3 linked regions of the Kluyveromyces lactis genome follow. The protein of the gene in region 2 purifies or fractionates together with the protein of the main gene of each other region. This does not show direct contact. Links are inferred from orthologs where the notes say so. Each region holds a gene or a part of one and is shown on either strand. Other genes may lie near its edges.

Region 1 (11,730 bases), on a different chromosome or scaffold from region 2:
GATGCAGATAATAATTCAAGAAGAGATTTATTGGTTATTTTCAGCGACTATATCGTGATATTGAGCATTGTCGATGCTGAAAAGTACTACTCGGAGACCGATAATAAACCACTTATATCTGATGTTCTCATGAACTCCCTAATCAATGAAGTTGCACTGCCATCAAAGATTCCTAAATTACAAGTAGTGTCGCATTGCTATATTGATAGGATTCTAACGTCCACTACAAAGGATAACTCTATCATCCTTACTTTCTTGGATCCCAAACAACCGGAAAGTTTTGTATACAAGCTCGCCTCTTCTAAAATGAAGGCATCTCACATTGAAGAATTGTGTACAAAAGCAACCATTCTGGAAAAAGTGACTGCCTTCCATTTATTCAAATCAAACCGTTGCAATTTTAACATCTATTTCACGGCGCATGAGCTGGAAGCCTATCAAAATGAAACGATCAAATCACGATTCACTTTGTTTTTAAATTGTCCGCCAAATATAAAGCAATTAGAGGAACACGAACTTGACCTAGCTTTTTTTGCAACCCTAGATACCGGTAAAATTTCGCTGACAAAATTAACATCGGAAGGGACGTCTGATAATGTCGAAGTAACCCTTGATGAACTTGTCACTGTTTTAACCAAAGAGTTGATGAGTAACTATGGCAAATATACATATTCCTTCAAGGCACCATTTTACAACGAGCTTCTAAGAATCAACGAACAACTAACGAAATTAATAGGACACGACTTTAACTTGGTCGATATCCACGACGCACCTTCGATAGTTACTACGCCTGTTGTTAACGACAAGACGAACGGTTTTCAACCTGTTCATAAAAAGGACAAATCTTATGGAACGATTACCACATTTAGAAGTAGCGTGAGCGACTTTAAGGACAATTTACTTTCTAATAACGCTAAATCATCGAAGGCAAACAAAAAGTTTCTCAAAAGCAACAAGGACAAATCTCAAACAGAAAGCAAACAGTCAAAACGTGGAGGTTTCATATCGAAATTGTTTTCTGTTTTCAGAAAGAGGAAATCACCTTCGAAAAGCCAGAAACGGGTTGTAACAAAAAAGGATGCTGGACTGGCGAGAAATATTTCGAAAGATCTACCGCCTATTAGCGTGCCAAAGAAAAAAGGAGAACGTGTTGGGTCAGTTATCCACAACAAAAACATCACTCCAGACCCTCGTCCCCACTCGGACAATCCTTATATCCTTTCCAGTTCAAACTCCTTCAAAACTGTCGACTCTTCTGAAGCTAGCTGTGAGGATGCGAATAATGTTTCTGCTCTTAAGAATAACGCTAAGCCGAAATCTATTTATACGCAGCATCAACAAGCAAGGCAAAGCCAGGTCTTCAACGATGATCTATTCGGGGACATAGTTGCCCCTACGTCTAGTGTACATGATAAGAACAGAGCAGATACCATAGTTCAGCAGGACGACCGCACCAAGGACGATGGTGTCAAGGACACTAGTGTGGAATTATCAGGCGGAATCACCCCATGCTCTGATGTTAACAACAGCTTCACAAGCTTGGAACAAAATACTCGTAATGTAATTACTATTGAATCCACTCCAACTTCCATAACCCAAGTTGACAAGGAGCAACTCGAAGGCCAACCAGCATCTTCCACTTATCCCAGTAAAGATGAGGACAATACGAAATCTCCAATTTTCCCTAAGATCAACAAATATGAAATACCAAAAATCAACTTTACTAAATCTCCTTCTTTTGCAGAATTATTTAAGGAAATGCGCATGGTTTTAGACGAGTCTGATGAAGTAGTGAATTGGAGAAGACTATCCAGTGAAGTTTCATTAAATGAAAAATATGCCATTCATATACCGACTGATAAGAACTTAAGATCCAATAAGCGACTATCAGCAGCAGTAGAAGTCCCTGAACAAGATGAACTGTCTTTCCACAAGGATGATGTTAAATCTGATCAAAGAACACTAGATACTGGAGTAACTCTCACTAAAAGCTCAAAATTATCTGGTAATTTTAATGTAATAAAAACTTCTCCAGTCAAAATTATAACTCGAAATGAGTTAACTATGAAAAGAACTTCAAGATCCTCGAACCTGAACGATGATCCTCCAAGTTTCTACACGGAAGATATGAGCAAAAATGCAAGACTTGTTGAGCTAACATTTCACTCGCAGGAAGATTTACCGGAAAGTCCTTTTTATACTCCACAAACAGAAGAAACCAAACCTAGTGAACACGGCCATGAAGAAACAAATGTGGATCACTTAGTTCCACCAGAATCAACCATAAAATTACCGACGGAAACGACCAATAGCCAAGATGAACCTGCACCATTATTAGATGATTTAGAGTTCAGTTTCTTCCACATGTCATTTGACAATACCAATAACACTTCCACTAGAGAGTCTACTATGGATACTGGCGATGTTTTTGAAAATAAAAATGTTCTACCTCGGAAGGTAGCAGAGCCTGTATTCTACAAATTCGACAATTTCACCAAATCCAACGAATCCTTTTTTTCAGCTCACGATAAAGTACACCCAACAGCAGTTGAAAACGACGATGAGCCAATCTGGGTTTCTCCAAGCAAATTGGATATGTTTGACATCAGTAATAAATCAGACACATTTTTCAAGAGTTTACAACCACCAGCTTCAAAAAAAGCTGCTCCTAAGGCTGCTGCTTTCGGTGCTTTGACCGACGAAAACAACGGCAAACATGATGAACCCTCTTTCCTAAGAGATTCTTCCTATGACTACTTAGGTGGCGTTTTAGCAGAAGATGATGAAACAAAACCAACGCGATTGCAGTTCAGCGCTTAGTCCCTATGGAGAAAACGTAGAAGTTTGAATAGGTTATTAATTAGTGATATTACCTCAAGTAATGCCCGCTAGATATCAAAATATAAAACATGATTATTTAGAAGTTAGAATTAGAATCTGGCATAAGTCACCTTTAACTCATGATCTCCATAGGAGTATTTGTCCAATTTGCTGATACATATATCTGCGTCCTCTGGTGTTTCAAATTGACAATATGAGTTCCTTGTGAAATGACCTTCAGGATTCAACAGTAATTTCGTTATTATAACCGGTGCAACACTGCCAAATAGGTCATATAAATCAGATTCAGTGGTAGAAGATGGCATATTTTCGCAGAAGATTACAGAGTTTCTATCACCACCCGTAGTTATAGCCAGAGGATCGATATCTAGTGGTTTTGGTTTAAGAGTTGCTGGTGGTTCATTACGTGGTTGACGAGGGATGTAAGTATCGGCACCAGTGGCTGCAGTACGTGTAGAAGTTCCTTTACCTTCTTTAACATCTAATACACGGCCCTTATACTCTGTACCAGTCCAATGACGAATAGCATCATTTTGTTGTTCTTTGGTAGCCATATAGACCGTACCAAAACCTCTTGACTTACCGTCACGATCAGTGACAACATCAGCATGCAAAACATCACCGCACGGTTTGAACATATCTTTTAATTCTTGCCAATTAACAGAGAATGGTAGCTGTGCCACGAAAACTTCGAAACCTTCATCGTGAGCACGTTTTGGAGGAGGCGGTGGGCCGTTATTATTTCCAGTTCTCGAGATTTCAGCAGGAGGTGGATTATCTTGCCTGACAAAAATGGCACGTCCGTTCAAAAAGGCACCATCACAATCTCTAATGGCCGTATCGACGTCAGTACTGTTATTGAATTCCACAGTACCCATGCCCCTGTGATGACCTCTAGAAGTAATAATATCTGCTCTGCGAACTTCACCGATCTTACCAAAATATTCCTTCAAATCCTCTGGTGTAGTATTATATGTAAGGTTACCGATGAAGATACTGTTGGCATAGTTTCTGTTTACTTTTTCATCATATGGAGAATCGAGCTCTCTCGCTAATTTCGGTCCATAGTCTCCTTTAGCGGCGGCAGCAGCAGCAGTAGCAGCTCCTCCTCGATCATATCTCGAGGATCTACCACGGCCATATCTACCACTGTTATAACCTTGATTCTCGTACCCATTGTCCCTTCCAACAGAACGGTATCCACGATTTACAGATCTTCCACCCGAATATCTGTCTCCGTCCCTATCTCTTGAATAAGTGTCCCTGTTATATCCTTCAGATCTTCTGTTATCTCCGCTGTAGTTTCCTCTTCTATCATCCCTATAGCTACGATCAGGATAACCGCCTCTGCGTGGATCTTCGTTTCCTGATCTTGCTACAGGTGATCTAGATCTCGATCTCTCTCTTGACTATATTAATAAAGGCCAGAAAAAAGTAATTAATGGCAACTCATATAGTAACCAGTTAGTATCACATGTTAACGCTTGAAGCAGAAGCCTAGAAATGAACTAATCTTTAGATTTGCAGCAAAGATGTATTACAGCCAATGACTAGTATGTTTCCTGCGCAGTAGTTTTCCTTAGGTATACTGGAAACTAAAAGCACTTATAATAGCGACACCTGCCACAATCTTAGCCAAAAAACAAGCAGAATTAAACCATCGCATACCCAGTGTCAATAGATGCATAATATCAATAAACCTTACCAGCTTGGATATCTGTTCTTTGATAATTCATTGAGCAACAACTGTCGGTGATAATACTATAGATATGGTATGATCATTGTGTAGCAGTCTAAACAGCCATTTCACACCAATTCCTTTTCAAAAATACAACATACGTATGAACTCATATTTAACTACCAGCCACAACCGTCTAGCAGCAGTCTTGAAATTATTTCACGACGTTTAGCAATGTCATAACGAAGTTCTTTTCAGTGCTGAATGTTTTCACAGATTTAATTCCTTCTGAATTTTTTTCGAGGTTTAGATGTGTTAATGAATAAAAAGAGACGTGCATGATATAAAGAATGCCGCATGTCATGTGACTCAATGCAAGTTAAAGCGTGGCAAGAAGGGAGAGTATAAGACCTGTAAAAGGGCATATTACGTCCAGGTGGTTGGTGTTGGTATAATATAATATATTATTGAGATGGCAGACACTACTCCGGACACTGCAGTCTCTAATGTGACCGAACCTGCCAAGAAGAAGAGGAAGTATTCCAAAAATGGATGCCTTGAATGTAAGAGAAAGAAGGTTAAATGTGATGAGACGAAGCCTATGTGTTGGCAGTGCACGCATTTGTCTCTTGAATGTGTTTATAAGACCAAAGAGTTTCAATTTGTTGTTTCTGGGGGACCCAATAAATCTCGAGTAAACTCTAAAGTGACCTCAGTCTCGGATAAAAAGAGAAAGAATAAGGAAGATGGCGATCTGCATAGGAAAAACATGGAACATCATTCATCATCTGATACTAGAAAACTCTCGAACAATGAACGTGACGTGGATTTTGAGCATGCTGCAACCAATGCGATTGGTAATGACGAAGATGATTTGAATGCGCTATTGAACGATGCGCTTCTCTTTGCTAATGATTTATTCTCCAAGCTGCCCGAAACAGACGCCGTGACCGCAAACCAAGGCCAACAGAAAAGTATCAGTTCTATCAATGATGACATAGGCGGGCCCGTGTTCAACAGATGGGAAGAGATCGAAGGAATGTTAGGAGAGGTATCAAAATCGGAATTATCATATTTGAAGATATTTTATGACAATGTATCATACTGGTTGATGCCGCTAGCACAATCACCGGATTCTAACATTTGTAACCATATCTTATTCCAGCACGTAATAAGAGCAAATAAAAAACACGCCCGAGAAAAGTCTTACTTACAGAGTTCGATGGTGTCAATCAGTGCTAAATATGTCTACAATGTTTACGGGAAAGAGCATGATAATATAATTAGGAAACATTTCTTGAGAAAAGCACTACAGCAATTGTACCAAGAATTCGAATCTCTATCCCAAGAATCATTGGGGTTTTCACAGATAGACTCTTTGAATTTATGTGTGCTATTGTTGACATTGGATAGTTCAACGTTTGGAACTCAAGAATGGAAATTCCATCTACGAGGAGCTAAGGATCTACTTATGAAATACAACGACAACAGAGAAATGGTGACTGGAAGCACTGGGAGCACACTTTTGCATAGGAGGACTGTAACACTAGCACGTAACTGGTTTTGTGCCATTGCTATAGTTGCTTGTGTAGCGAAAGGTAACCATTTTTTCAATGAAGCAGAAATGGAGGAGATGTTAGATATTGGATCCAGTGATTCATCCATGAGCGACAATCTCATGAAGCAGATGGGATTCATATCAGGGAATAATTATAACACATTTCTTGGGTATTCGAAAGAGGGAATATTGCTTATCAAGGAAGTGATGAAATGTCTTAATGCAGATACTGGCCAAGACGATAACAACGATAGTTTCCTTAACGTCTGCTCATTGTTACAAGCATCTCGAGAATACCAATTCTATCCAAACACGTACGGGAAAGTTGATACCGACAATTACTCCCTGATACCGTCATTCACCTCAGATGTGGCATCCGTTGTGTTCCACAAGCTTTCTGTCTATTCTATATACGATTCCATCCACCAGACCCATGTGGAACTACTATTTGTCACCTATCTACTAAGAAGCGCTAAACTACCTGAAGACTGTTCGCTAGTGCTAAACTCTTGCAAACGAGTTTGGAAAATGTTAGAGTGGATGTTTTCAGACTGTAATTTGACAATAATGGAAATAAACATGCTGACAGAACAGTTAGAAGCTGGTGAAATATACAACTACCCAAGCCTAAGAGAGAAACTAAAATTTGAATTGACCTCCAGGTGCATCATCGTACCAATGCAGAAGGACTTCAGATTGATGATGTTCCAAAGTAGCGTGATTTTATGTGCTGAGAAGCTAATTTTATTGGATTCAAATACACTACGGCTGACAAGATGCAAAATCCTAGCATACTTCATGACTATGGCAGAAAACTTGGGTGCTGAATCAGCAGCAATATCGATCGCATATCTGATTAGAAAATGGTATCCAAGACCAACGACCATGCTCTCACAGAATGAGGTGGACCTTGCTGATGCGCTTCCATTTTCTTGAACACTATTTTTTATACATCCCATAGCACTCTGATATAGCACATGTTTAGACCCACCAGAAATCTGTACGAATTAACTGTACGAACTAGTACAGAACGGCAGACTACTGTCAATATTGTACATCCTTTATTCATTTATCATAACGGTCACATGACTCATATTGATAAATCGTGCATATATTTTGTGAACGCCACACGCATCGACATATGTACCTTTTACACACATACCGAATCTCACGTTGATGGTGAGAGTTAACTACTATTTACATAAGTTTCACAGACAGCAGAACAATTGGTGCGGCACCAGAGGACCTCTTTGTTCTGTAACCTTCCTGTTCAAGAACAAAGGACGATTAAAAAGTGGACTTACCGTTGCACTATCTCCTGGATCCTCGTTCAGTGTGTATGCCGTTCCATCACTAGTTTTTTTTCTTTCTTTTCATTATCATCACATTCGCGATGACTTGGACTTTCAGTATGAAAAGCGTTCAAAATGCATGTAGTGAGATATGATATATAAAAGATGAACCAAGATATGTCATTGCTAGATCAAAGCATAAGCCTGTTGTTTGGTAAGGCTGTTTACTGAGTTGCTTAATGCTGTCATAAACCTCAACAATAGTTGTGGTTCGAATAACAGGTACAGCTACGAATCAAGAACTATGAAAAAGTCGGAGGTAGAGGTGACTGAAAGGTCAATCTTTGTACGTTCTGCATCGAGCATTCGTCAGTTTTCTGATAAGTTAGATGCGTTAGGTGTTGAAGCGCGTGGTATCCAGCGTATCCAGCCGTATGAGCGTGGCACCGCTAAACAGTTTTGGCATGTTGCTGGGTTGTGGTTGAGTGCAGCTGGTGGGCTTTCTTCTATGTCGTCATACTTCCTTGGTCCAATGGTATTCCAACTTACGTTTAACCAATGTCTTGTGAGTGGATTGATATCGATGTGGATCGGCTGTGGGGTTGCAGCTTACTGTTCTGTAATGGGTCCACAATCTGGTTGTAGACAAATAGTTACTGCTCGTTATCTGTTCGGTTGGTGGTTTGTGAAATTTATTGCCTTGGCTGCGATTGTCGGTGTTATGGGCTGGTCCATTGTGAACTGTGTTGTTGGAGGACAAATGCTAGCTAGTGTTAGTGACGGTAAGGTTCCACTTTGGGTTGGTATTATCATTGTTACTGTGGTATCGTTGCTTGTTTCCATTTTTGGTATCAAGCAGGTTTTAAAAGTAGAGACTCTGTTTGCAGTGCCCGTGCTAACTAGTTTCCTGTTGTTGTACATCTCAGCAAGTGACAAGTTCAAGTACTTGTACGAATTCAGTAATAGTGACATTGATTCACTGACTGTGAAAGGTTGCTGGTTATCCTTCTTTTCTTTGTGTTACAGTATCACATCAACTTGGGGTTCCATCACAGCAGATTACTATATCTTGTTCCCCGAGGACACTCCTCAGATTCAAGTCTTCTTATTGACATTTTTCGGAACTGCGGTACCAACCACTTTCGTTGGTGTATTGGGTCTTCTACTGGCATCATGTTCACTGTCCTACGAACCTTGGCAAGCTGCATATGATGAATATGGGATGGGTGGTCTCATGAATGCTGGTTTCTCTCGTTGGAATGGATTTGGGAAATTTTTGGTCGTTGTATTGATCTTATCTTTAATCTCGAATAATATTGTTAACACATACTCTGCAGCATTCTCCATCCAATTATCAAGTGTGATGTTAGCCAAGGTGCCTCGTTGGATCTGGGCTATCGGATGTACCATCTTTTACCTCGTATGTGCGCTAGTAGGTAGAAACAGTTTTTCCACCATCTTGGGAAATTTCCTACCTATGATTGGTTACTGGATTAGCATGTACTTCATCTTACTCGTGGAAGAGAACGTCATCTTTAGAAACTGGTTCCACCATCTATATAAATTGGAATTCCCCAATGACATAGAAGTGAAACCACATCATAAACTAAGGAAATTACCAAGGCACATCCACAGGTACAACTGGGATGAATGGGACAACTCTGAAGTCATCACAAGAGGATTGGCTGCATCCGCTGCGTTCTGCATCGGTGTTGCTGGTGTGGTACTTGGAATGTGTCAAACGTATTACGTGGGGCCACTTGCCGCAAAGATTGGCGAGTATGGCGGAGATTTAGGTATGTGGCTCGGTATGGGTTTCGCAGGAGTATCATATCCACCACTAAGGTACTGCGAACTGAAGAAATTTGGCAGGTGAACCATTTTCCCCATTATCTGACATTATACACATATAATAGAAACACACATATATGTACACACATATATGTATATAACCTGTCACGCGACGCGCGCCAGATCAAATGAATAATCTCTTTAATATTAATGGCATGGCATTGCCTATATAAATCACATGACCTCTAGCCAACCATATCGCAGAATTCTCACTCAATTGACAACACCCACACTAGATCCTACTCTCGCCGGAAACAAAATAGAAACAAATACGAAAGACTACTCCAGCTAAAAAATGTGTACATCACTATGTACGAGTAGACACCTTTTTTGTATCTTTCCTTCTTCTCCCTGCTCCAATCATACTGGGAAACATGATGTGATTTTTGTACGTTTTTTGTTATAAGCGATAATTTTCATTTCTTGATTTTCGCAGGATATTGGAACCGAATGTATATATATGAATAATATTTTCAACAGTGATTTCAGAGTTTTAGAAAGTAGCTAAAGACGTTTTATCAAGTTTGTTCAAGAGAGTCATACGTTTGTTTCAGAGGGTTTTCTTTCGCCGATTACTTTCATTTGCGAATATATTCAACTGATCACCTTATCTGTCTCAGCTAGCTTACAGTATCCAAGTGGTTCTTTTTGTCATATATTGCTAATTGATTAGTTCATTACAATTCAAATATACCTTTGTTCCATCGTTTTAGATTCACACATCGGAGTATCTAAGTTATCACCTATCAATCCAATCACAAAGAAGAAATAATGTTGTCTCTACGTCAATCCCTATCGAAGTTGTTCGGCCCAGCATCCAGAGCTTTTGCTACCACCAAGGTTGCAGGTGATCAACAAGTTGTTAAGACTGCTACCAAGTTGGCTGAAGTTAACGGTGCTGACACTTTGATTGGTCCTGGTGCCAAAGACGGTGAAGTTCCAACCGAATTGGACCAAGCCACTGGTTTAGCCAGATTGGAATTGTTGGGTAAATTGGAAGGTATCGAAGTTTTCGACACCAAGCCATTGGACTCTTCCAGAATCGGTACCATGGAAAACCCAATCATTGTTGAATCCTACGATGACTACCGTTATGTCGGTGCCACTGGTTCCCCAGCTGGTTCTCACAACGTCATGTGGTTGAAGCCAACCGACGGTCAAGTCGCCAGATGTTGGGAAACCGGTTGTGTATACAAGCTTAAGATGGTCGGTGTTCCTCAAGAAGGTCACCATTAAGCATTTTAATCCTTCCTTCCATATCATTCCCACTTATCCTGGTAAAAAAAGGATTAACAACCAGTGTACCACTATATCATTCTAAAAATTCCAATACAAATGTCAAATACACAAACCTATTCTAAAATATTACAAAATAATAAATTACACAAGCTGAAGCAACAAATTACACAAAAAGTTTAGTGGGGACATATACTTGAACTGGTCCTGCACATAATCAAGATTTGTTTATATGTTTGGAAAGCGGGGAACAGGCCAGATCTATTGAATTTTAAAAGAATGATTGATTCATATTTTATACCAATTGCCTCTATTTCTTTCCCCCCCCGGATCGTTTAAACCAATTAAAGACTTATGTTACACATTGTTTCTCTACATACTACATTTCACAGGTAAGAACTCATTATTTAAATTAAGTACGATTTTATCAATAAAATTTCAAAAAAAAAAGTCTTTGTTTCAAGGTGACACCGAGGGTCAGTATGACAATTACCGATACAGAAGTAATTACCGAATATTCAAAACACTTAGTAGTTGCAAAGCAACCTTTTCAGATTATATGTATATCATCTATGAAGGGGAATTACCCCAATGATAGATGGACTTATCGGCACTTTAAGGGTTTGTTCATTTTCAGGGACTGTTTCGAAGTGGTGTTGATGATAAAAGGAAAAACAAAAAAATGTACACCCATACATACTCAAATATTAAAAAAGTTTCTCCCAAACAGTTGAAGCGAAAGAAAAGTGTAATTTAACGTATTAGGAAATTCCAAATTTACCAATTTATCTAGGGAATACTCCGCTCCTGTCTGGGAATGGCCCCTTCTAGAGACATACATGCCTGTGTAGGAAGAAGGGGTAGGCTCCATCTCTGCCTGCCAATTGGAACCGCACGGGAAGCTAGTCCCAATCCATTGGTGTAGGTCCTACCATACCTCCGCCCAATTCCTCACTCTTCGCCTCAGCTCTCCCTCAACCCTCTGCCGTAAGCCACTGGTCCTTGCCAAATGGTATCGTTTGCACTTCCTTCGCCGTAGCGTCTAGGGTTAGCCCGTATTTTGTATGGTGAAATGCTCTTCCTAAATCACAGCTCTGGTATACTGAAAAATTTAAAGATAAGTTTTGTAATATATTAGAGAACTGTTTATTAGAGAGAGAGACTTTTGATATTACAGCTTAGCTATTTTGTTTGCTTTTGTGATAACACAGCCTAACCAAGACTAGTATATTCAAGTATGTTACCTATATCGTGGGCTGAATGATACGTGTGTG
Region 2 (10,433 bases):
GTAAAAGTGACCATTGAGAACAAAGTTGACGAAAAACTCTGGAATGGTAGGTTAAGATGTTAACTTATGTTACGAAAGGAAACATCAGGTTACTATACGACTGTGGTACTCTGTTTCATTTTTCTTACGATTCAGGAAATTAGTACGGTCTTACTTTTTCTGGTTAAGATAGCAAAGGAGAATTCTGTTGTGTGTCCTTTATTGTAAATATGGCATCGCAGCATCGGAATGGTAATTCGAAGTCCAGGAATGGGGGAGGAAAAGGTGTAGGGAAAGGTTCTAACTCGTTGTTTGGGCGTGTTGGAAATTCTAGTGGCCAAAATCCCGTATTACAGAAGAAGCAGACTTTGGAAAGGGCAGAGAAAGCAAAGGCAGAAAAGGCCAAAGCAAAGACTGGATTGACATTTCTTGGTGGTAAACTTGTGTTAGCTGCTGATTTGCAGGGCAATAAAATGAAAGCCAGCTCAGATAAGAATAAGCAACAAATTCAATCGAACAAACGTGTCAATTTGCTTCATAATTTGAAGAATAGAGCTAGATCTAAGCAACGAAACAATAGTGATAACAGTAATAATAAGAAGTTGGTTATTTCATTGAAAGAGAGTTTGAAATGTTTAAAGATACGAAATTTGCCGATAGGAACGAACCCTTCTAATTTACAAAGAGTGTTACAACAGATGGGCAACTGCAAAGTTACAGACTTGAAAGTTATCGATCTTCCTACTGGTTCAGCCCACGCTGAGGTGTTTGCTTCCAACATGGATTTAGAAACGTTACACAAGAGGTTCAACCAGGCCGAAATTGATGGCAGAAGAATCTTAACAGAGATTTCTTCGCAGCCAGAACTTTAATTAAATATATTACAATCTCTGAAAGCGTTTTCGATAGCTTTTTAACTTCGATACACCTAACATAAAATACACGTTAAATACCGCATGTACCAACAACAAAAATATTGCAAATACACTTGTGTAATATCTATAATAATCATTAATCGTTTCCAATATCCCTTTTGATTGGTTTTGGCGGGTTTGCAAGTTTTCGTAACAGTGTTAGTTGGGCATCCCGTTTGGAAGGGAATCCTGACGCCAATGTGTAATACTCTAAAAGGTTCTGATGAATAGCCAAGCTGGCATATGTGTCCTTGCTTATCGTATTAGACCACTCTTCCTTTGTTGTTCTAGCACTCCCTACCCCTGGATGTTTCTTCCGCATATCTTCATATATCAGTTCCTCTTTCACTTTGTTACTCTGCAGTTAAGTCAGTAGTTAGTATCATTGGTCAGCATAGGATATTACACATAAATTGGAAAAAAAAAGTACATACCATTGTTTATAACTTCCTATTGTTCTCACTGATACCATTAACTTAGTCAAATACCTAGTATACTGACTGCTGTGACTCTTTTCATCCCTGTTTGAGATATCAACTCTATTCAAGTTACCATTCTCACCATGCCGACATTTTTCAAATATCGAATTTGAATATGTTAAAAATCTGTGAAAGATATAACACATACATTGCGCAACATCAACCTCATGATTGTAGCGTCCTGGTGACGGAAGAGCAATAGGGGTATTTGCATTTGCCAATTGAATTAGGCACACGGTAAATTGTTTTCATCATGGCATTGTACGACTGTTTGAATAATTTGGCTTCCAATCTTCCAAATGATGAACAAGTTACTTATTTTGACAAGACGTTTTTCGATGAACCAAGTCGTGGTGTAGAAACAATCATATCACAGTACCTTTCCTTAGATGCCAGTTCTCAGAAATCTGATTATGTGTATGATTTGTTTCTGGAAGCTTTTTCCTTAATCAATGGGAAATCTGATGAATCGGAGTTTTTAAATTTGGATGCTATCAGCAAAATAGTTAGTGCGTTATGCAACGAGGATAGATATAACTTCGAGCTATTTGTTTCGTTAGCGAATTCATACCCTTGGGAGGCGAACAATGGGTTTAATGATTTAGTTGGGTGTGCCAAGGATCTTCAGTTAGAGGTGTGTATTTATTTGAACGACCAAATTCTTTCAAAGGGTACAGAAAGATGGTCCAAAGATTTTTGGTCCGCATTCAAAAAGAGCATCGTTCCCGAGTTCTTCCTTTTGCAAAAACCAAATTTATTCCTAGAATGCTCTACTGGTTTCAGTCAACTGATAACGTTGTTGAATATCGCTTTTGAAGATGTTGACAAATTCCAATCTGTTCAATATTACAGTAAACAGTTGAAATATATTATGGGGAAATATAAGCTAGACCCAATCAGGTGCATGGATATACTATTACAAGTGTCTTCATATCATGTCGTACACCATTTTGAGTTTATTCTTGAGCTTTTGCAATCTACAGACTACTGGCCATCTTCGAATTTGGCCAACTGCTCACGGTATGAACAATTGAACCAAGGTGGTAATCCGATAGCTACCAGGTTGATAGTAAATTACCTTAATAATGGTAAACCAGATGCAAATTACATCGATTTAGTGGTTCATCTAATTAAAGGCGGGTTTGTCTCTTTTGCTGCTATATTCGATTGCCTGACCCCGTACGATACTGACATTGATGAGTTTGTAGAGAGGAAGCTGACGACATTGGAAAAGGAATCCTTGGAGGGATCTCTTAATCCGTTAGCTATGGCCTCCGTCCTTACTGACGAAGACAATACCATTTCGAAAAATACGGAAGGTGATAAAACCAATACAGCGGCAGATACTGGGATATCGGAGAAGGAAAAAGAAGCACTACTTCGAGAAACTGTTGAAAAATCACCAAAATGGAAACTAGTAGAGAGGTTACTTGTCAATGGGCACTTTGTTCCAGGATTGTATGCTCTATTCAAATATCCTCGGTTCTTTGCCGTGAACGATAGTCTCGTGAAATCTCTTCTCGAGGTGTTTGACAACATGATCGAACCCTTGACTGTAAAGTTGAGCCCTTCAGCTATTTCAGAACATTGTCGACCTCTTTTGAAGTTATCTCACAATGGAATTCCTACTAAACAAGATCGGTTGATCAGGCAATATAGGTCTTTGGGGAAAGACTACAAATACATTCAAGGGACAGAATTTGTATTTTACAATAAAGACTGGCGACAGAATTTGACTCCAATTGAAACGATAGAGAATCTCGTTCATTATTCACATCTAATATTTGAAAGCATCGGTCCACGTATTATTCTTAATGCTAAACTTGTTGAACATATATGCGCCATAGCTGAAAAAAATATTCTAGATAACCTAGAAGATGAAACGGTTATGGATTTATGGATTAATTACTGCAGAAAGTTTATGCTACCAGTATTAGGACTAGTCGAAGATGAGCAGTTTGTTGCAAATGCAATTTATTCGGTTATGAAGCACTTCCCATTCGAAAGAAGATACTTCATGTACCATGAATTAAGTACAAAGATTGCTGAAGACAACATACATGTCAGGTTACAATTTAATAAGTACCAAAAGCGGATAAGGTCACTTTTAAAATCTTTGAGTATTGACAACATTGCATTTAAGTGCAGGGATGTTGCTAACTTCGTGTCCTGCAATCCTCTTTCAACTCTAGACTCTATCCTAAAACAAATAGAAAATTATGATAAAGTCTCTGAACTAATCGTCATAAGTGCCGAATTTTTCTCAGAATTCGCTTACGATGTTTTACAGTATACGTTATTAATTAAGCTCACATCGGAAAGGCCAACTTTACAAGATGATGGTATTACTCCCAAAATGTGGATTAGCAGATTATCTTTGTTCATTGCGGGTCTTGCTAAAGGCTGTTCTAAAATGAGTATGTCCAACATATTCGTGTTTTTGGTCAAAAATCTTTACAAGGATCCATCGCTTACCCTGGCTATTTTGAAGGAGTTAATCTCCCAAGTTGCAGGAATACAAACGTTGTATGATGTAAATTGGAACACTTTGCTAATGATAAGCTCAGGATCCTTTTTAAAACAAATCGGTAGAAATCTTATCTTGGATTTCAGAGATAAGTATTATCAACCTTCAAAAACTATTGTCAATTACTTGTTAGAGCTTAATGCAGTGTCAGAAATGATTATCATGCTCACAAATTTGAATCTTAAGATTCAAACCGATAATAACGTTCATTATAAAATCTTATCAGCGAAATGCGATGAATCCAATGCATTACTTTGGTCATTTATTGAAATGTTAAAGCACATTTTGACTGAAGAACAATTCAAAGCCAATATTCTACCTTTCAACGTTTTAATTGAGAAATATCAATTTCCTGTTGAGTGGGCGTTTGATATCTGGAGGCATTATTTCGATACAAAGCTGGCGAGATCTGAAAATGATGCTGATGAAATCAACGAAATTCTATATGAGACTGATTTCAAAGGCATCAATTTTGAAAATATTGATAAACGTCTATTCATTGATTTCTGGCGGTTATCCTTATATGATATTAGATTAGAAGAAGATTTGTACACGAAGCAGAAAATCATTTACGAAGACAAGAGAAAGGCTGCTAAAGTTTTGAAAGAGAGGCATAGTTTATTAAGCACAATACAGACAGTCAAATTTGATCTATCTCAGCATGCAAGCGTTTTTGAAAAGACAAAGAACATGATTAAAATGAACAAGGAGACATGGTTCCCCGAATTCTCCCGTGAGCGTATTACCTCATTTTTGCAACACTGCGTTGTTCCTAGACTCATTTTTTCACCATTTGATGCCATATTTTGCGCAACTTTCATTACTGAAACATTTAATATCGAAGAAGTAATTGATATCTTAGGGCAATTCACATCCTCAAACATTTTAGGAACCTTACTATTTTCTTCTACGGTAAATGAATCGAGCAACATCGCTACGTTTTTGAAGGACATTATTACCAAAATCGAAAATTGGAGACATACTACATTATTGGATGATGACAAAATTAAACCTGTAATATATGACCTCTACTATCAATTAACAGAACAATTATCATTTACCTTAGAGGATTCCAATTACATGTCCATTAGAAACACAATCCAGTTTTTAAATGCTATAAGCGAAATCTTCCCTGTCGTTGATGAACATTTGGAATTGGTTTTAGACACTTTGGATCATTTAATTGAACACGAGCAAAGGGAGGATATCATTTTGCCATCAAACGCTTTGAAAGGACACTTAAAGGCTAGACTTAAGAACGCCTCTAAGACATCGGATTTCCGTGAAGTTTCAGCGGAAGAACAGCAACAACTGCAAGACGAGATGAATCTCATCAAAAGGTACCAAGATATGAAGGAAGCTGCAAAAGCAGAGCAAAGTAGAAAGGAAGAAGCAGAATTGAAAGAAAAGGAAAGGGAAAAGGCAAAACAACAGGATGCTGAGAACGGTGCTGCAACATCTTCACTTACCGCACCATCCATGTCGTCCATATCCAACAATTCTCCATCTCCATCGCAAGTCATGGATGGCTTTTATAAGATCGAGAAGTACATTAAGGATGCTGAGTACACCAGAGCCATTCCCTTGATATACGATTCTAACACTCAGAGTGATTTTAGAAAATTGATAAAAGCTCCAGGCAACATCTCTGGATTTAGAAACAAATTGAAGATATTGTTCGAGGACTATTACCACCGAGTCACTAGTAATCCACCTGATCACTACAGATCTGTCTTTGAAAATTTTATTCAAAGATGCAAATCTGCTCCTTTGCCTCAAACCAAGACACCTGGAAGTATGTATGAAGATGAAGTAGTACCTGTTAAACCTTCATCGAAGTACAGTGGTGAAAGATGGAACTCCAACACTTCCAGTAACCGTCCAATACCTAGTGAACCAAGAAAGGCAGCTTCTTCTCGTTATCAACATGGTATAGCCTCAACAACTCTGCCAAGAGCACCAGCCAACGCGTCTAAGCCTCCGGATACTTCCTCAAGACCATCTGGTCCTGCAAGCTCAGGTTCATCTAGCAGATTCCAAAACACATTACCATCTGGCCCAAGAAAAGATTCGTCTAGCAACAGAAGTATCAGCAATTCAAACACATCACAGCTTCCTAGCAGACCATTCAATCAAGGGAAGAAATTCGTTAATACTCCCTCCGAACCACGAAAGAGGCAATCTGATGAATCTTACCAAAGTTCAAGCAGATTCTCAAACGTTAAAAAGCCTAAGTTGAACGATCGTTCTACAAATAACCAATCGCCATTACCATCTGGTCCAAAAAGACAATCTGGAGGATCGAGATATTCGAGGTGAATAAAAATACTTAACTCGACACTTAGTTAAATAGCATAGCATAATATATGCTACCAATTATCTTCGATTTTGTACGGTCTTTCCCTGAGACTCTGATGCTTCTTACCACGTAAAACTGTCAATATGAAAAATGTTGAAAAACATAGACCTATGTAAATATAAGATTGAATCAAGCTAAACTACATATTTACAGTTTGAATAGAGCTTCTTTATGGGTCAATAAGCACTGTTAACACCTTTCAATCGATATAGGCATTAAGTGTAATGAGCAATAACGTGATAACCGGAGCAAATGGTCGATTAGATGTTTATGTGAGTAAAGCGAAGGACCTTCCAAATCTAAGAAAGTTAGACAAGCAAGATCCTTTCGTCAAGTTAAGAGTAGCTCATCTTACGGAGATATCTCCAGTGATATACAGAGGCGGCCAAACTCCAAAATTTGATTACCATTGTGTTTTTCAACTAACGCCCGATATCAAGCCTCTACTCTGCGTTGAACTGTACGATGACCATGATCACAAACATGGTTCGAAGCTCATTGGGAAGTGCGATGTTGATCTTTTGCCTGCATTACTAAGTGACCCTGAAGAAGGCCATGATAGGTGGTATCATCTGAAGAGGGGTCCTTTGGAAGCTGGTAAGGTGTATATTGAATTGACTTTTGTTCCAAATAACATTAGCGAAGACAGACGCGACAATGTTCCAAAAATAAGTTCCAGTGTACAGTCCAGGTCAGTACCACCACTACCGTCAGATCCACCGGAGTTACATGCACAATATGAACTGCAGACATCGGCAAGTGAGCAGCGGTTCGTTGCTTCCGCATCCCCAGGCCAATACGTTCACGGCTCTCATATAAAATCTCCACTTCCTGATCTACCTATAAACCTCGATACTTCTAGATCATCACACGCTTCAAGTGAAAGAATAGATTTTGATTCATCGATGGGGTCTAATGCTACAGCAAATACCTATCATTCGCAACAAAGCCAATCTACTGATGGGCTGATGGACAAGTTAAAGCTGATCAAAGAAAAATTGAATTATTTCAAGAACGGCTCCTCGGTACCATCTACAGAGAGTATCACCAACACTGCGATGGATTTGGAAGTCTTACAGAAAGTGGTAGGTGGCGGTCTCGAGAGTAGCTCAAGCTCAAGAATACCAACGAACATTGACGAGCCATCGCCTATGAATCACCTTCCTACAAAATCGTTTGTTGAACCGCCATTACCACCTCTTCCGACTACGCCTTCAAGACTATCCAGCCAATCTTCAGTGAGACATTCAGCCGGACAAAAATATCCGTTAAAATCTCCTGTGAGACAACCTACTACTCCAAGGCTACCGAACTTGCCAAATTCTTTTTCTTCGCCTTCTTCAAGATCAGGCTCGGTTTCTCCAACAAGGAGGAGACCACCACCATTATAAATGACTTATTAGAACTACATAATCATTGATAGGATAGACAGTTAAAAGTTTTTCTATCACTACTCATATTAGATGTTCCTCTTATCTTCTCGAAGCCTTGGAATCTAAAATGGTTTCAATCGTTGCACCTTGAATTCTGTCAATGCTAAGCCTTTTTGCATGATTATTCAACCAAAGGGTCCTAAGATGAGAAAAGAATATATAAAGAAAGAACTTTAAAGTAATCGCACAAGAATACTCGAAAGAAGACTCTGCTGTATTATGTTTGATACTATTCGAATTAGGAACCTCACTGCAGTGGATTAATGATACGACAAGATGGTAAATTGATAATTCTGCCCAGTAAAATAACTGTCGGAAAACAGCTTGAAGTTGGAACATACTTCATGTTAAAACTGGGTCAAAATGCAATACGATTCAATTCCATTAGGGGAAACTTAGAACTTAATGTTAGAGCTGCAGACTGGGATACTAATATGGAGTTCATTATATTTAGGCGAAGGCCACGATTGAAGAATGATCTTCTTGGTTGTCGACGGAGGGACGTCCTAGACCAGGATTTTATTAATATCAACAAATTGAGACCTAAAGCACTAAGAGAATATTATGTCGTTTGGAAGTCTGTTGAATTGAATTCACTTGCAAAAGATGTCCAATTCATAGTAGACATCGAATTTTTCCCATCAAGTGGCCCTATTATACCTTTGAAAAGCCCACAAAGTCCAAGCGAGAAGAGCTCTCCAGTAATTAAGACCAAACTGCCCAAGCAACTACCTCAGAGTCCCGAAAGTAAACCCGCTACAACACCCAGGGACCAAGAATCTAGTCCTAAATTTTTTCCCCGATTAAGAAGACATTCTAGGCATCAACGACGTAATGATCTAAACATAGACTCAGATGACATAGTGTACGACAATGTCATTATATATGATGGTAAGGAGAAAGCTGTAGTTGCAGGAAATTACACTCATGGATTGAAAAGCTACGAAGCTGAGTCTTCTGATACAAGCGGTGTATATTCATTCATCGAGCAAAATAAAGAGAAGATTCGAAACTATGACTACGATACCTTAGTTATCAAAGAAACTCCAAAAGATCTACTGAACAATGAATACGCTCGCTTGCAATTGGGTGATAAGCTTATGTTTATTCATAGTTTCCCAAGTGCTAATGTAAAACTAACTGGATATTTGGGAAATGGAAGATGGTCAGTTCCAGAAACAAACGAAACGAGACGACAACTTTATGTACTTCAGCAACCAACTCTTCCTCCTCCCAGGGTACCCCCCAAATGTCCGAAAGGTATGCTATGGGAAGAGTATTATTTACTCAATAAAGAGAAATACATTCGTGAAGTTATGAGAAATTGAAGGCTTTTCAGCTGATGCCATGTTATTAATGTGTTATGATACAAAATATTAAAGGAAAACTCAATATATAATGGAAGTAAATTAAATGTTAACAGACAGTGTCTATAATAAATGCTATTTTATGCGAATAAAGATCTAATGCTTTATTTATGTTTTATTGGTCCTTCGATAAAGGCTGATTTTCCTCTCAGTGTGACTTAGAATTCTGCTTCATCAGGATACTCATCATCACCTCCCAGGTCATCATCCCCATCATCGAAGTACTTTTCAGCATTGTAGTCATCATCGTCGTCCTCTTCAAATTCGTCGTCTTCATCGATATCATCTTTATCGGCTTCCTTCTCCTCATTTCCTTCTTCGTTTTCCTCATCATCATCGACCATACCGCTCATCTTTTCCAAAAGAGCACGACCTACCGCTTCATCTTCTTCCTTAGACCCATTCAATCCAAAGAGCGTCTTGCTCTTGTCCAGTTTCGACAGTTGTATCAACTTCTTCTTATTGATACCCATGACATGGTAGAGTTCTTTTGGAAAGAAATCGATGTTAAAAGGATGCTCATCGATAGAAGTACCGATTTTCCTTCTTTTCAAATACTTATCAGAGTATCTTTCAATCCCATCATTTAGTCCGTCTGCATCTACTTGTAAGCTTGGTTTATTCTTTCTCTTGTTCTTAGCGTTCTCTGTATCACCTTCTTCTTGATCTTCTTCTGAGATTAGTTCCATTGAACCAGTAAAGAACGGCCCATCTTTCAACGCATTTTTGAAGTTTATGTAGTGAATAGCAATTTCTCTTTCAAGTTCATTACTTGGATGGTTCAATGGTAGTGGGATTAGAGGCAGCTCTGTAGATCCTTTCGCACTAACGTCGCTATAACTTAACCCAAACGGAAGGTTACTAAAAGTCGACGAAGATTTTCCTCTGGATCCTCTAAAACTCATGGCTCAGTTTATTGTCGAATCGGTCCACAAAATTCCTAGTTAAGAGTAGTATACTGGTATCAGTACGATCTGGAATGCTTCCTTGTGTCTCTGTACCTCTGGCGATGAGCTTCAACATTTTTTTTCACTTTTGGCTTGATGCAAAGTTCATAAATATTCAAATATATATGCGGTGTACGGATTTCTTAGTATGAACACTTCAATACATAGTCTGATCCTACACAATCTATAGAACGATTAACAGCATTTGGCCAGCCGCTGAGGTACTGATCTTAATCGATGAGCAAATCTTCGATATCCTTATCGTCTTCCGGATCCAGGACGGCGCCATTCTCTTGTAATCTTTGAATTTCAGACTCGAGTAGTTCTTCTTGCTTCTTAACTCTTTGTCTAGTTCTGTTACCCCAACCGAAGGAAGAACCATTGGCTGAAGATTCACCTTGATCTGCTGTACTGCCATCTGAGGTTCC
Region 3 (11,412 bases), on a different chromosome or scaffold from region 2:
GAAGCGTAAGTTGAGAACTGAAACTTACACTCAACAAATGATCATACACGTCCTTCACAAGTACAAGGAAATTGTATCAAAGTTATACAAATCGTTTGCTCAAGTCCATTATCCTACAAAGACTTCTGCTACTGGGTCTGGTAACCAAAAATTGCAAATGACTTTGTCATATCAACGTCTATCTCAATTAGAACCATTCCAAAGTGAGGAAGAATTCAACTTGTATTTGAACAAGGTCTTCCCCAACGATTCTCCAGACCTATTGATCTTGAGAACCTTAAACTTGTTCAACAAGTCTATCTTGAAGACTAATTTCTTCATCACCAGAAAAGTGGCCATTTCTTTCAAGTTGGACCCTGCTTTAATTTTACCAAAGAGTGAATACCCAGAAACTCCATACGGTATCTTCTTTGTCGTCGGCAACACGTTCAAGGCTTTCCATATCAGATTCAGAGACATCTCCCGTGGTGGTATTAGAATCGTAGTTTCAAGATCCCAAGATGTTTATGACAAAAACTCCAAGAGTGTTATCGATGAGAATTACGGTTTGGCTTCAACACAACAGAAGAAGAACAAGGATATTCCAGAAGGTGGGTCCAAGGGTGTTATTCTGTTGAATCCAGGTTTGACTTCTTCAAAGGATACTTTCAACGCCTTCTCTCAATATGTGGATTCTGTCATCGACATCTTAATCAAGGATCCATTAAAGGAAAACTATGTGGATTTATATGGCAAAGAAGAAATTTTATTCTTTGGTCCTGACGAAGGTACTGCAGGTTTCACCAATTGGGCTACTTTGCACGCTAAGAGACGTGGTTGCCCATGGTGGAAGTCCTTCTTGACTGGTAAGACCAGTTCCTTAGGTGGTATTCCACACGATGAATATGGTATGACCTCTTTAAGTGTCAGATCTTATGTCAATGCTCTAGCAGATCACGCAGGCTTCCAAAATGAAAAGACTTACAAGTTCCAAACCGGTGGTCCAGATGGTGATTTGGGTTCCAATGAAATTTTACTATCCACTGAGAATGAAGCATACGTGGGGTTGGTTGACGGTTCTGGTGTCTTGTGTGATCCAGAAGGATTAGACAAACATGAGTTGATTAACTTGGCCAAGCAAAGAGTCATGGTTTCAAGTTACGACAAATCTAAACTTTCCAAGAAAGGTTTCTTTGTCTCTGTCGATGATATCGACGTCATGCTACCTAATGGTGTCCTTGTCGCAAATGGTACTACTTTCCGTAACACTTTCCATTATGAAGTTTTCAAGTTTGTTAACCATATTGACCTATTTGTGCCATGTGGTGGTAGACCAAATTCCATTGATTTGAACAACTTGCACTATTTCATCAACAAAGAAAACAATAAGAGTAAGATTCCATACATTGTTGAAGGTGCGAACTTATTCATTTCTCAACCAGCCAAGTTGGAATTGGAAAGACATGGTGCTATTTTGATTAAGGATGCCTCTGCTAATAAGGGTGGTGTTACGTCGTCATCTATGGAAGTTTTGGCTGCTTTATCGTTGAACGACGAAGATTTCGTCGGCAAATTTGTCAGTACTGATGGTAAGACTAATACTGAACTGTATAAATCTTATGTGAAACAAATTCAAGAAAAGATTCAGTTCAATGCTAGACAAGAATTTGGTCAATTATGGAAATTAAACAAAGCTACTGGTTTACCAATGTCTCATTTATCCAATGTGATCTCGGAAACCATCAACAAATTGAATGATGATTTAATTGAATCAGATGAATTATGGTCTAACGATTTGAAGTTGAGAAACTATTTGCTATTAAACAAGATCATTCCTAAGTTGTTAACCGACGTTGCTGGGCCAGAGCAAATTTTGAAACAAATTCCAGACTCCTATTTAAAGGCTTTGTTATCCAGTTATTTGTCCAGTCACTTCGTCTATGAGTTTGGTACTGATGTCAATATGGGTAAATTCTTGGAATACATTGGTAACCTTAAGAGAGAAGCAAGCGATTTGGAAATCGTTTGATCAGAAACTTGCATTGAAACTCTTTTGTATTTGAAAAAGGGGGAAGTAAAATTCCAAATGTATATATATTGTGTACGGATGTGATGTAAACACAGCAAGATGCAATACTTATTTAGTAAGGTAGTGTACTTAATCACTTACTATTTTAATGAATTCCTATCTGTAATGACAAATCTTATCAATTATGCGCTCTTTCTAGTACGAACATTTTGTGAAATTTAAGATTCTATTTTACTTCGAATTGTAAAGGCAAGTAGAAAGTAAACTTCTCGTGGAAGAATTAACAACAGTGGTTTACTAAGTATCATTTTTCATCAAGAGTGTCTGGCCGCTTGCCTGCTACACCTTAGAAGACTGGGAATGAGGAATGAGCTCCATAAAATTTCATGAGAAATCCTTGAAAGAAGTCACTCGATGGATTCAAGCTAACGAAGACATCAATACAGAAACTTCACTTTCCAGTTCTAGTGATTCAAGCACGACGATTCCTGTAATAGACCACCTACCAGCAAGAATCCCGTATGCTACCGATTTGAAACGAAATCCGTGTCACTTTCAGAAATGCCTTATATCAAGACTTGCTACTACAAAGATGTTATCTCATGCGGTTGATGGTGGAGATATTGAAGTTATGGGGATGCTAGTAGGATACACTAGCAATGATATGATAGTTGTCAAGGATTGCTATTCTTTACCTGTTCAAGGAACTGAAACAAGGGTTAATGCGCATATGGAATCATATGAATATATGGTCCAGTATTTAGACGCATTTGTCACAAAAGAAGATAAGATAGTGGGCTGGTACCACTCTCATCCAGGATATGGTTGTTGGTTGAGCAATATCGACATCCAAACACAGTCTTTAAATCAAAATTACCAAGACCCGTACCTTGCCATAGTGGTCGATCCCAAGAAGTCTTTATCCGGAAACACTTTGGACATTGGAGCATTTAGGACACTGCCGTCTAAAGATAACAACGAGCATGTTGATTATTATCCACTTAACATTCAATTATATCAAAACTCACTTGATGTTAACATTTCAAAATTAAAATTGAAATTCAAGGTAGATCCAGCAATTCAGAACAATCCTAACGAACCGGAACTAATGAAAGAGCTACATGAATGTGTAGAGAATTGGTTTCATGCCAAAAAAGTGATGAAGTCAACTGTAGGATTCAATGCTATCGGATCCACCGTGGTTAATGAAACTGAGATAGGAAATGAAGATTTTACACACGAGAGGTCCAATTCAATCTCCTCGACCTCTTCCTTAACCACAAGGCATACTACTGATGTAGAAATGGATGATCAAGAGAGTGCTCAAAGTAGTCTTGATATACCGGCCAATGTGATACCTGGCATGCAGTTTCAGGAGGCAGAGATAAAGCATGAATACGAACTGAAGAAGAAGAAACTACTCTTATTGAAGGTTAAGCAATATCAAAAGTTAAGGACCTACAGACAACTATTTAATGCATCCGAATAAGCTTCACAGATGTTTTTAATGTCATACCCTCATCATCTGCAAATTTATCAGTCGAGGTTGAAATAGCGAGGGTGTTTGGATCAACAGGATTCGTTGCAATGCAATTCACCCTTACATTCTCATCTGAAATAAGAATGTTATTCGTTGGCTTTATTCCAGTACCAGCGGTTTGAAGTGGGTCCAACCCACCAAATTCAATGCAATCTTTGTCCCAGCATGCAACCTGACCATCGTACGATCCAATTAACAAACCTTTGGCACTGTTCAAGGATGCCTTGAATTTCTGCTTACCAATTTTGAATGGAAGTTCCAGTATATTAATTCTAGATTTTAACATTCGTGTATCAATAACATCGATTTCTCTTGCATTACGTTTAATACAGTACAAATAATGTCCGTTATCCGACTTAATGACTTGGTAGATTCCATTTGACCACGAGTCCAATGAATCACGCTCACTTATTAGTTCAGATTTAGTACTTCTAGTATCAATTCGTAGCACTTCTGTTTTATAAGTACCAGCAAACCTGACATTGTCATGTACCTCGTTATATTCATCAAAGCATGATACGATAGCCTTCTGTGATGACTTCCCGCATGATTGTTTTGTCCACTGATGTTGCCATATCGGTTTATGTCGGTTGTAATCATACATAGTTATCCTGTTTCTAACAGATCCAGTCATGAAATGCATAGTGTCTTGAAGTATTGTCATTGAATAAGCCGTTTCAAAGGCTTCATTTTCTTCGTTAACAGTAGAGTAATGGTATAAACTTGTTTCATTGATGCTGTCCGATCGTAATGAGTACAATTTTATGGGCAGATCTCTTGAAGAACAAAGTATAGTTTGATATGCTGAATCCTCTTCATACAGTGAGTATCTAGGGTGGACGACAGAGGAAATAATGGAACCATTCACAAACCATCGTGTGAAAGGAACCCAATGATCTACAAGTGGATCTTCTGGTATAAGATACTGTCGTATTCCAAAATCATCAAAAACGCCGCAAATAGAAGTACCATCATGAGACCAAGTCAGCTGAGAACAAATCACAGGACAATACCGCTCAACGCTATGGAAATACGAACGATGCAGCTTTGGAAATTCGTAATTCTTTGCATATGCTGAAAATTTTCGAGATAATTCTTCTTCGAGAGACCATAATGAATTACAATTTGTCCCATAGTAGCAGTCTAATGTGCTGGCTATCGTTTGCATTATCAAAAGGTCTCATATTCCGCATACAGTTGCTTAAAATGCTGCCTTCTGTGCATGCGATGAGGCATTCTGTCAATATTGACATATTGACAGAGTTGAAGCTTATTCTTATCGAAAGAAAAAAAGCTTTGGAATAGCTAATATCAAAAGCTCATCGAAAATAATATTGAAATAAATATATACATCGTTGAACAGAGTAGTAAAAGGACACCGTGAAGTATTGGATAGTTGTGGAAGATTAGCTACTGTTGAAGTAAGAAACGTTAAAATAAAATGGTGTATCGTGGGTTTGGTTTAGACCAAGTTTCTCCACCAGAGAATAAACCATTTGATCAACTTTCGCCTGAAGAACAAGGTGAAAAAGGTGCCCAAATGATGGTGGAGTTTATGACTTCTTGTCCTGGAAAAGCTGCCATCAGTGGTGTTACTGGTTTTGCATTAGGTGGTGTTTTCGGTTTATTTATGGCATCGATGGCGTATGACACACCTCTACATACGCCAGCTCCAACCAATGCTCCAGGTTTACCAAATAAAGTGAAAGAGCTTGCAGATCTACCGTTGAAACAGCAGATAAAGATCCAGTTTAGTGATATGGGAAAAAGATCCTACTCCAGTGCAAAGAATTTCGGTTACATCGGTATGATTTATTCAGGTGTCGAATGTGTGGTGGAATCGTTAAGGGCAAAGAACGATATATATAACGGTGTAGCTGCAGGTTGTTTGACAGGCGGTGGCTTGGCATACAAGAGTGGACCTCAGGCAGCATTAGTGGGTTGTGCGGGTTTTGCTGCCTTCTCTACGGCCATTGATTTATACATGAGAAACGAGAATAAGAAACCACCCAAGGATGACTTCGATGAATGATCAGTTTATATTTTTGAAACTCTAAGCATTAAGCGTCCGTTCTTTGTACATTAGATAGACTCCAGGTCATGATATCTATGAACTTTACATGTAAATACGTGCATTTATATATCAATTCAGTCTTTATCATAGGTAATGATACACCCATACATTGCAAAGTACGAGAATAATGATACAACTTAACCATATCACTGGTTCATAGGTCATTGATTTGCCAATTAAAGTTTCTTTGTCCTGCAAAATATCGATCAACCGATCTAGCTTGGCACTAGTGTCCTTCAATTGGGATTCCAATGTAGTTATTTCACTAGATTGAAACACTTTGCGGGAAATTTTTCTTTGACTTTCAAAAGACGGTGCTTCTAATACCCTCTTGGCCTTATTCACAGGCTCTGCTTTAGTCTGTCGTACCTTTGCGTTCGATATTATAGTATTCCATCTGGATTCGAGGTCACGACCAACTTCCATTTTTTGCTGAGGGTCAAGATAAGGTAAGGGCAATGGATCACCAAGCTTCTCTTTCAGTTGTCTTCGTTTTGGAAATGTATTTGACTTCTTTGGGGTATTATGCTGGGACAGTTGTACAATGCTTTGTTTAGATCGCAGCTTCGGCATAAACTGTGGGTTAACTTCATCATCAAACGTTTCGCTGGAGCTTACAGACCCCGGAGTAGTAACATTACTCGATGATTTGTACTTCACAGTATCTTCCTCCTCAGAAATATTTAAAGGCCCGCATATATCTTGCAAAACACTTGTGCTATTGTTCGAAACAACTGATACCTCATCTTTAATCTTCGCGTCAAACATTTTGTTGATCCGTTTTATTCGTGAGTCACTAATCTTTCTCTGGGGAGACCGCAGATTGAGAAATTCAGGCATTGAACTCATATTATCGCATCAGCGTAATATTCAACTCCGAGCTTTGAAGTAGCACATATGCATTGGATATTTCCTTTTCGTGTGATTATAGGCGATGTTTCACCGAGGAAATTTCGATTGTGTATTTTTAAAGGTTTACAAAAATCCAAACCTTTAAATGTTGATATTATGCATCGGAACATGTAGAGGTAACACCGAAAGTGATATGCACCTAACTGGTCACCTAATTTCTATGACAGAGAGAAGGTCCATGATACTGTTTTTTGAGCACAGTTTTTACTTTTATCGTGGTTCAAAACTGCAAATAAGACTTGGGCCCTTTAATGACATAGAATTCTGTTTCACAATGAAGGGAGAAGTGTAGATTAATAATACTATAGATAGATTACATTAATGCAAAAATTATATGATATTTAACAGGCGCGTAGTATTCATTTATTGTCTAGAATAAAAAAAGCAAATGTAATTACATGACACACGCACAGCTAGAGTTGGTTTTAATTGAAGTTGAATTGCTGGTTGACATTTGATCCAAATCCAAAAGTGTTACCAGCTGTTTGTGGAGCCATAGATTCATCAACAACATCATCTTCATCACTAAAGTACTTTTCAATGATCTTGAAGGCCTTTTCGTAAATTTTTTCGTTAGCATTAGACTGTAAATTGAAGATCTTTTCCATACCACCAGCTTTCTCAATGAAATCAGCATTTTCGTTCACGGCAATACCTCTGACTTCTCTATCCATTTCACCCATCTTCAAAATATTTTCTATAGCATCTAGTGTAACCTCTATGATTCTGTTATCAGCAATCTCTAATAGATCGCACAATGGTTTTATACAGCCTTGACTGACCAAATATCTGATAATTTCTGGCTTGTGTAACCCACCAGAAGAGGCATTCGAGATGGCCCAACATGCTTCTTTCTTTGTCTTATATTCTGCAGTTTCCAACAATCTGATTAATGGTGGAATTAAGTTAGCATCAATAACGGCTTGAATCTGTTCCGTATTACCAGCGGTTATATTAGAGATGGTCCAACAAGCTTCCTTTCTTATGGATTCCTTTGGAGAAGCCAATAGATTTCTTAGAGCTGCCAAGGCTCCACAGTTGATAACGATCTGAGTTTGCAAATCGTTACCTGTGACAATGTTACCTACAGCTCTTAGAGCAGGGGTTTGCACTAACGTAGATTGGTGGGATAGTAGTTCTACAAGTCTCTTTGGGATTCTAGCATCTACTACCGCTTGGATCGAATTAACCGGGCCATCGGAAAGATATGAGATAGCCCAACAAGCATCGACTAACGTTTCAGTATCCATGGAGTAGATTAGCTTAGACAAAGTTGGCAAAGCTTGAGACACGATAGACCAATCTGGTTGAGGTTTCTTACCACGACACAAGTTAGATAAAGTCCACGTAGCTGTTCTAATCAAGGAAGTCTTGTTCAATTCGAACAAATATAGAATTGGTTGCATGGCACCACATTGCAAAACGTAGTCTCTATAATCGGTGGAATCACCAGCAACGTTACCCAAGGCCCAAATAGCTTGTTCCTTCACTTCAACCGAGTTTGAATATAATAATTGAATGAATAATGGCACAGCACCCGCATCTACGACGACTCTAGTCTGCTCAGAAGTACCAGAAGCAATGTTCGTCAACGCCCAAGCAGCTTCCAATTGCAACATCTCAGGTTGATTTTCGCTCATGAATTGGACCAAGGTTGGCACTACGCCAGTACTGATAACCAAATCGATAGGTGGTCTGTGTTCTCTAGACAAGACTTGTCTAAACTTGACCGTCACAGCCAACTGTTGTTGTAGATCGTTAGAATGGATTTGTTCCAACATAGCAGGCAACTCCTGTTGTAATTGTCTGTAGAAAGAGGAGTCCTGATCGTCATCATCATCATTTTCATCATCAGAATCGTTACCAACAGGCGCATTGAAATTTCTTCTTTTTGCTAATGCCTCATCCCTCTTGACTTTTCTCAACTCGACTTGTTGAACGTCTCTACGACGACGTAATTCATCAGCAGAGAATCTACCCTTATTCTTGAAGTTTGTCCTCCTGTATTCAGGAACAAACTTGCTGGAAGTGTCACCGTCCATCTTTCACTTATAAAATAATAAAACGGATACCTGCTATCTGATCCTTCGTGCTAGCCGCGAACCAAAGAAAATTCAGAGAAGTAAAAAAAAAGATTGTAACTAATTCCTTTCTACCAAACTCACAATCACAATTGATCGTCCCGTCTTTTCAAGTAGATATTTTTGCAAATGGGTTCCAAATCAAACAAAAATAAAGAGAAGTTGGATTTAAAGAAGAAATTATCAGTCGCAAAATCAATCTCTAACAATCACAAATAGCGTTTCCCCTTGAGTAAATGAAAATCTGATTCGTTTCTTTGTATTGCTTGACAGAAAAATATATCGGAAGCCAAGAGCACCGTATTGTTTTATATATGTAACAGTGTAATTGAAGTAGAATGCAAACCAATCTTTTATTCAATCCCATATAATATCCATCTTGATTAAAATCCTTCTTTTTTGGCCATCCAAAAAATTCGAATTTTTTTTTTTGGTTGAAATTTCTTTGCCAGATAGTCGTGATGTACGGAGTTGTCACGTGACATACCAACCTCGTGTAAGAAAACGACAAAGGTTCTAACATCAAAAGACAGGAAAAGATGGGCAGGGTCAATTTGACACACTTTTCAACACATATTAAGAGATGTATATACGTATACATAATATATTTGGGATGGTTGGTAATATAAATATATCACCGGGGATTCCTTGTTTTCGTTCCTCATTCATTCTCATGATACACACACACTAAAGTATACATGAGGGTAAGTTGATGAGAGTAGAAGCGAAAGAATTGTGATACAATCAACTAGCATAAGTTCCTTTTTCTATTTCCCCCTTTAGTAAGCATCAAAAATACATTCACTGGGTATTGGAGATGGATGGAATGATTTGAGGGAGAGAAAAAGGAATGGACAAAACCGCTCAGTTGATGTTTTATTGACATGTTCTCTCTAGCAGCATTTTGAAAATGTCCCTCACAAATAAATGAGTGCTCGAATGAACAGGCGGGAAAGATTCAGAATTCAACGCCAAGAAAGAAACACGGTTCACCTACTGCACTCCATTCCTTTTTGTTATATATATACTCCAAATATCGACGATTATGAATTTTCACAACACACACACTGCTGTACGGTTCATAAACGTCAATTTTTTTTCATTCATGAAATGGAATAATTTTCAAATTAGGACACAGATAGATGAGATTGAGTAGTATATACTGTGTTAATTTAACACAATACACTTACACTCAAAACAAAAAATTTGTTAGCACGCGACACGACACACGACACACATTCACGACACGCAGCAACGACATAGGTAAGGTAGTAGAATAATATAGGTAATTCATGGAATCAAACAACCAAGTAAAAAAAAAACGAAATAAAAAAGAACAATCAAATCATTTCCTATGCATCCAGTGTTGGATGTAAGCGAACAGGGTTGACGAAGATTGATAAAAGTGAGGTGAAAGAAAATCCTTAAGTTTTTGTGATATAGTTTGATAGCAACGACAGTTAACGAAAATAAAAGAAGAGGGCCAACTTTTCGAGTATCTTTTTTCTTGGCATTTCGTTAACAATTGGAAGTTGACTTATAACAAGTAGGCAGCGATACCAGCAACCAAGAAAGAGCTGGAAAATTTAACCAAGTCAGCATCGTTAGCAGTTTCAGCTTCCCTGTTGTTAGTCTTATCGAATCTACCGTATCTGTGAGTACCGGTAGATGTAGGGGAAGAAGAAGGAGCTGTCTTGTTGAATCTACCGTATCTATGAGTACCAGTAGATGTAGGGGAAGAAGATGGAGCTGTCTTGTTGAATCTACCGTATCTGTGAGTACCAGTAGATGTAGGGGAAGAAGATGGAGCTGTCTTGTTGAATCTACCGTATCTATGAGTACCAGTAGATGTAGGGGAAGAAGAAGGAGCTGTCTTGTTGAATCTACCGTATCTGTGGGTACCAGTAGACGTAGGGGTAGAAGAAGGAGAAGTCTTGTCGAATCTACCGTATCTATGAGTGTTGGTGGTTGTAGTGGTAGTTTCACTGTTCTCTTGCTGAGCAGCAACAACAGAAACGGCAAAGAAAGCAGCAACAACGGAAGTTAACTTCATACTGAGTGTGAGACAGAACAGAAGCGAATTTTTGCGAATTAAAAAAACCAAAAAGGGCTTTTCTAGGTCGTTGGCTGGTGTGTTAGTGTGCGCGGTGTGAGGATATCGAAAAGAACTATTTAAAAGAATTAGATAAGTTATATCAAAGTATCAAAAACAACAACTAAATTGACTTAAAAGAAGTGATTAAAAGGAAAGAATAATGAATATGGTATATATTGAAAATCCATCAATAAAAAAGAAGTTTCTTGTTTCTCTATATATAATAACAAAGGGGAGACAGAGCCGGATTTCTTAGAGGAGAAACATGGAATTCGTTTTCCCTCTCAAAAGTTACGTAGTGACGGCAGGTGGTGAGCTAGAAATTATCTTAGAAAGAAAATTCAAAAAGACCGCAAACTTGCCTAGACAGTGGGGTAGCTCTCGAGCTATTTTTTTTTTCTTTGTTGCGGATTACCCGAAATGGTATACGTAGGTCACGTGCACATGACCATGTCTCTTGGCCAGCATATATTTTCAAATCAGGGTAAACCCCATGAGGGTTTGCAGTCGGTGATAATATGTCCATTGGGATAAAAGCATATTAAATTATATTTCCGATTGGTCATGTGAACAGGGGGAATGGTGTTGCCCTTTCGTGGGTTTCACCGTACAACCAGATAAATGTTGAAGGGTAGGTAGAGTAATATGTTGAGATACTTTTGTTTTTGTTTAGTATATAGTACGAGTCGTATTGGTGGTATC

What was found.
Region 1: the proteins of THO2 (region 2) and KLLA0_D05016g purify together in Saccharomyces cerevisiae (affinity purification with mass spectrometry; 4 studies listed by BioGRID). This does not show direct contact. The link is inferred for Kluyveromyces lactis from reciprocal best matches to the Saccharomyces cerevisiae genes THO2 and HRB1.
Region 3: the proteins of THO2 (region 2) and SRP1 purify together in Saccharomyces cerevisiae (affinity purification with mass spectrometry; 3 studies listed by BioGRID). This does not show direct contact. The link is inferred for Kluyveromyces lactis from reciprocal best matches to the Saccharomyces cerevisiae genes THO2 and SRP1.

The regions. Positions count from the first base shown.
Region 1 is NC_006040.1:428,662-440,391, forward strand, and holds KLLA0_D05016g (uncharacterized protein), read right to left. Parts: upstream 4,693-11,730; coding exon 4,681-4,692; intron 4,251-4,680; coding exon 2,931-4,250; downstream 1-2,930. Other genes in the region: BUD3 (Bud3p), read left to right, coding at 1-2,820; KLLA0_D05038g (Zn(II)2Cys6 transcription factor), read left to right, coding at 4,992-7,013; TPN1 (Tpn1p), read left to right, coding at 7,674-9,245; COX4 (cytochrome c oxidase subunit IV), read left to right, coding at 9,992-10,456. UniProt on the Saccharomyces cerevisiae protein: Binds to intron-containing transcripts and is involved in quality control for the export of spliced mRNAs from the nucleus. Binds to pre-mRNAs until splicing is completed or until faulty mRNAs are degraded.
Region 2 is NC_006037.1:994,673-1,005,105, reverse strand, and holds THO2 (Tho2p), read left to right. Parts: upstream 1-1,625; coding exon 1,626-6,218; downstream 6,219-10,433. Other genes in the region: KLLA0_A11616g (uncharacterized protein), read left to right, coding at 210-851; U2 snRNP complex subunit YSF3, read right to left, coding at 991-1,251, 1,328-1,330; INN1 (Inn1p), read left to right, coding at 6,483-7,649; KLLA0_A11550g (uncharacterized protein), read left to right, coding at 7,955-9,019; RPC31 (DNA-directed RNA polymerase III subunit C31), read right to left, coding at 9,217-9,963; PGA2 (Pga2p), read right to left, coding at 10,236-10,433. UniProt on the Saccharomyces cerevisiae protein: Component the THO subcomplex of the TREX complex, which operates in coupling transcription elongation to mRNA export. The THO complex is recruited to transcribed genes and moves along the gene with the elongating polymerase during transcription.
Region 3 is NC_006040.1:723,230-734,641, forward strand, and holds SRP1 (karyopherin alpha), read right to left. Parts: upstream 8,577-11,412; coding exon 6,960-8,576; downstream 1-6,959. Other genes in the region: GDH2 (glutamate dehydrogenase (NAD(+))), read left to right, coding at 1-2,008; COP9 signalosome catalytic subunit RRI1, read left to right, coding at 2,376-3,497; SWT21 (Swt21p), read right to left, coding at 3,481-4,716; translocation channel protein TIM22, read left to right, coding at 4,990-5,580; KAR1 (Kar1p), read right to left, coding at 5,707-6,471; KLLA0_D08624g (uncharacterized protein), read right to left, coding at 10,153-10,668. UniProt on the Saccharomyces cerevisiae protein: Functions in nuclear protein import as an adapter protein for importin beta nuclear receptors. Binds specifically and directly to substrates containing either a simple or bipartite NLS motif. Promotes docking of import substrates to the nuclear envelope.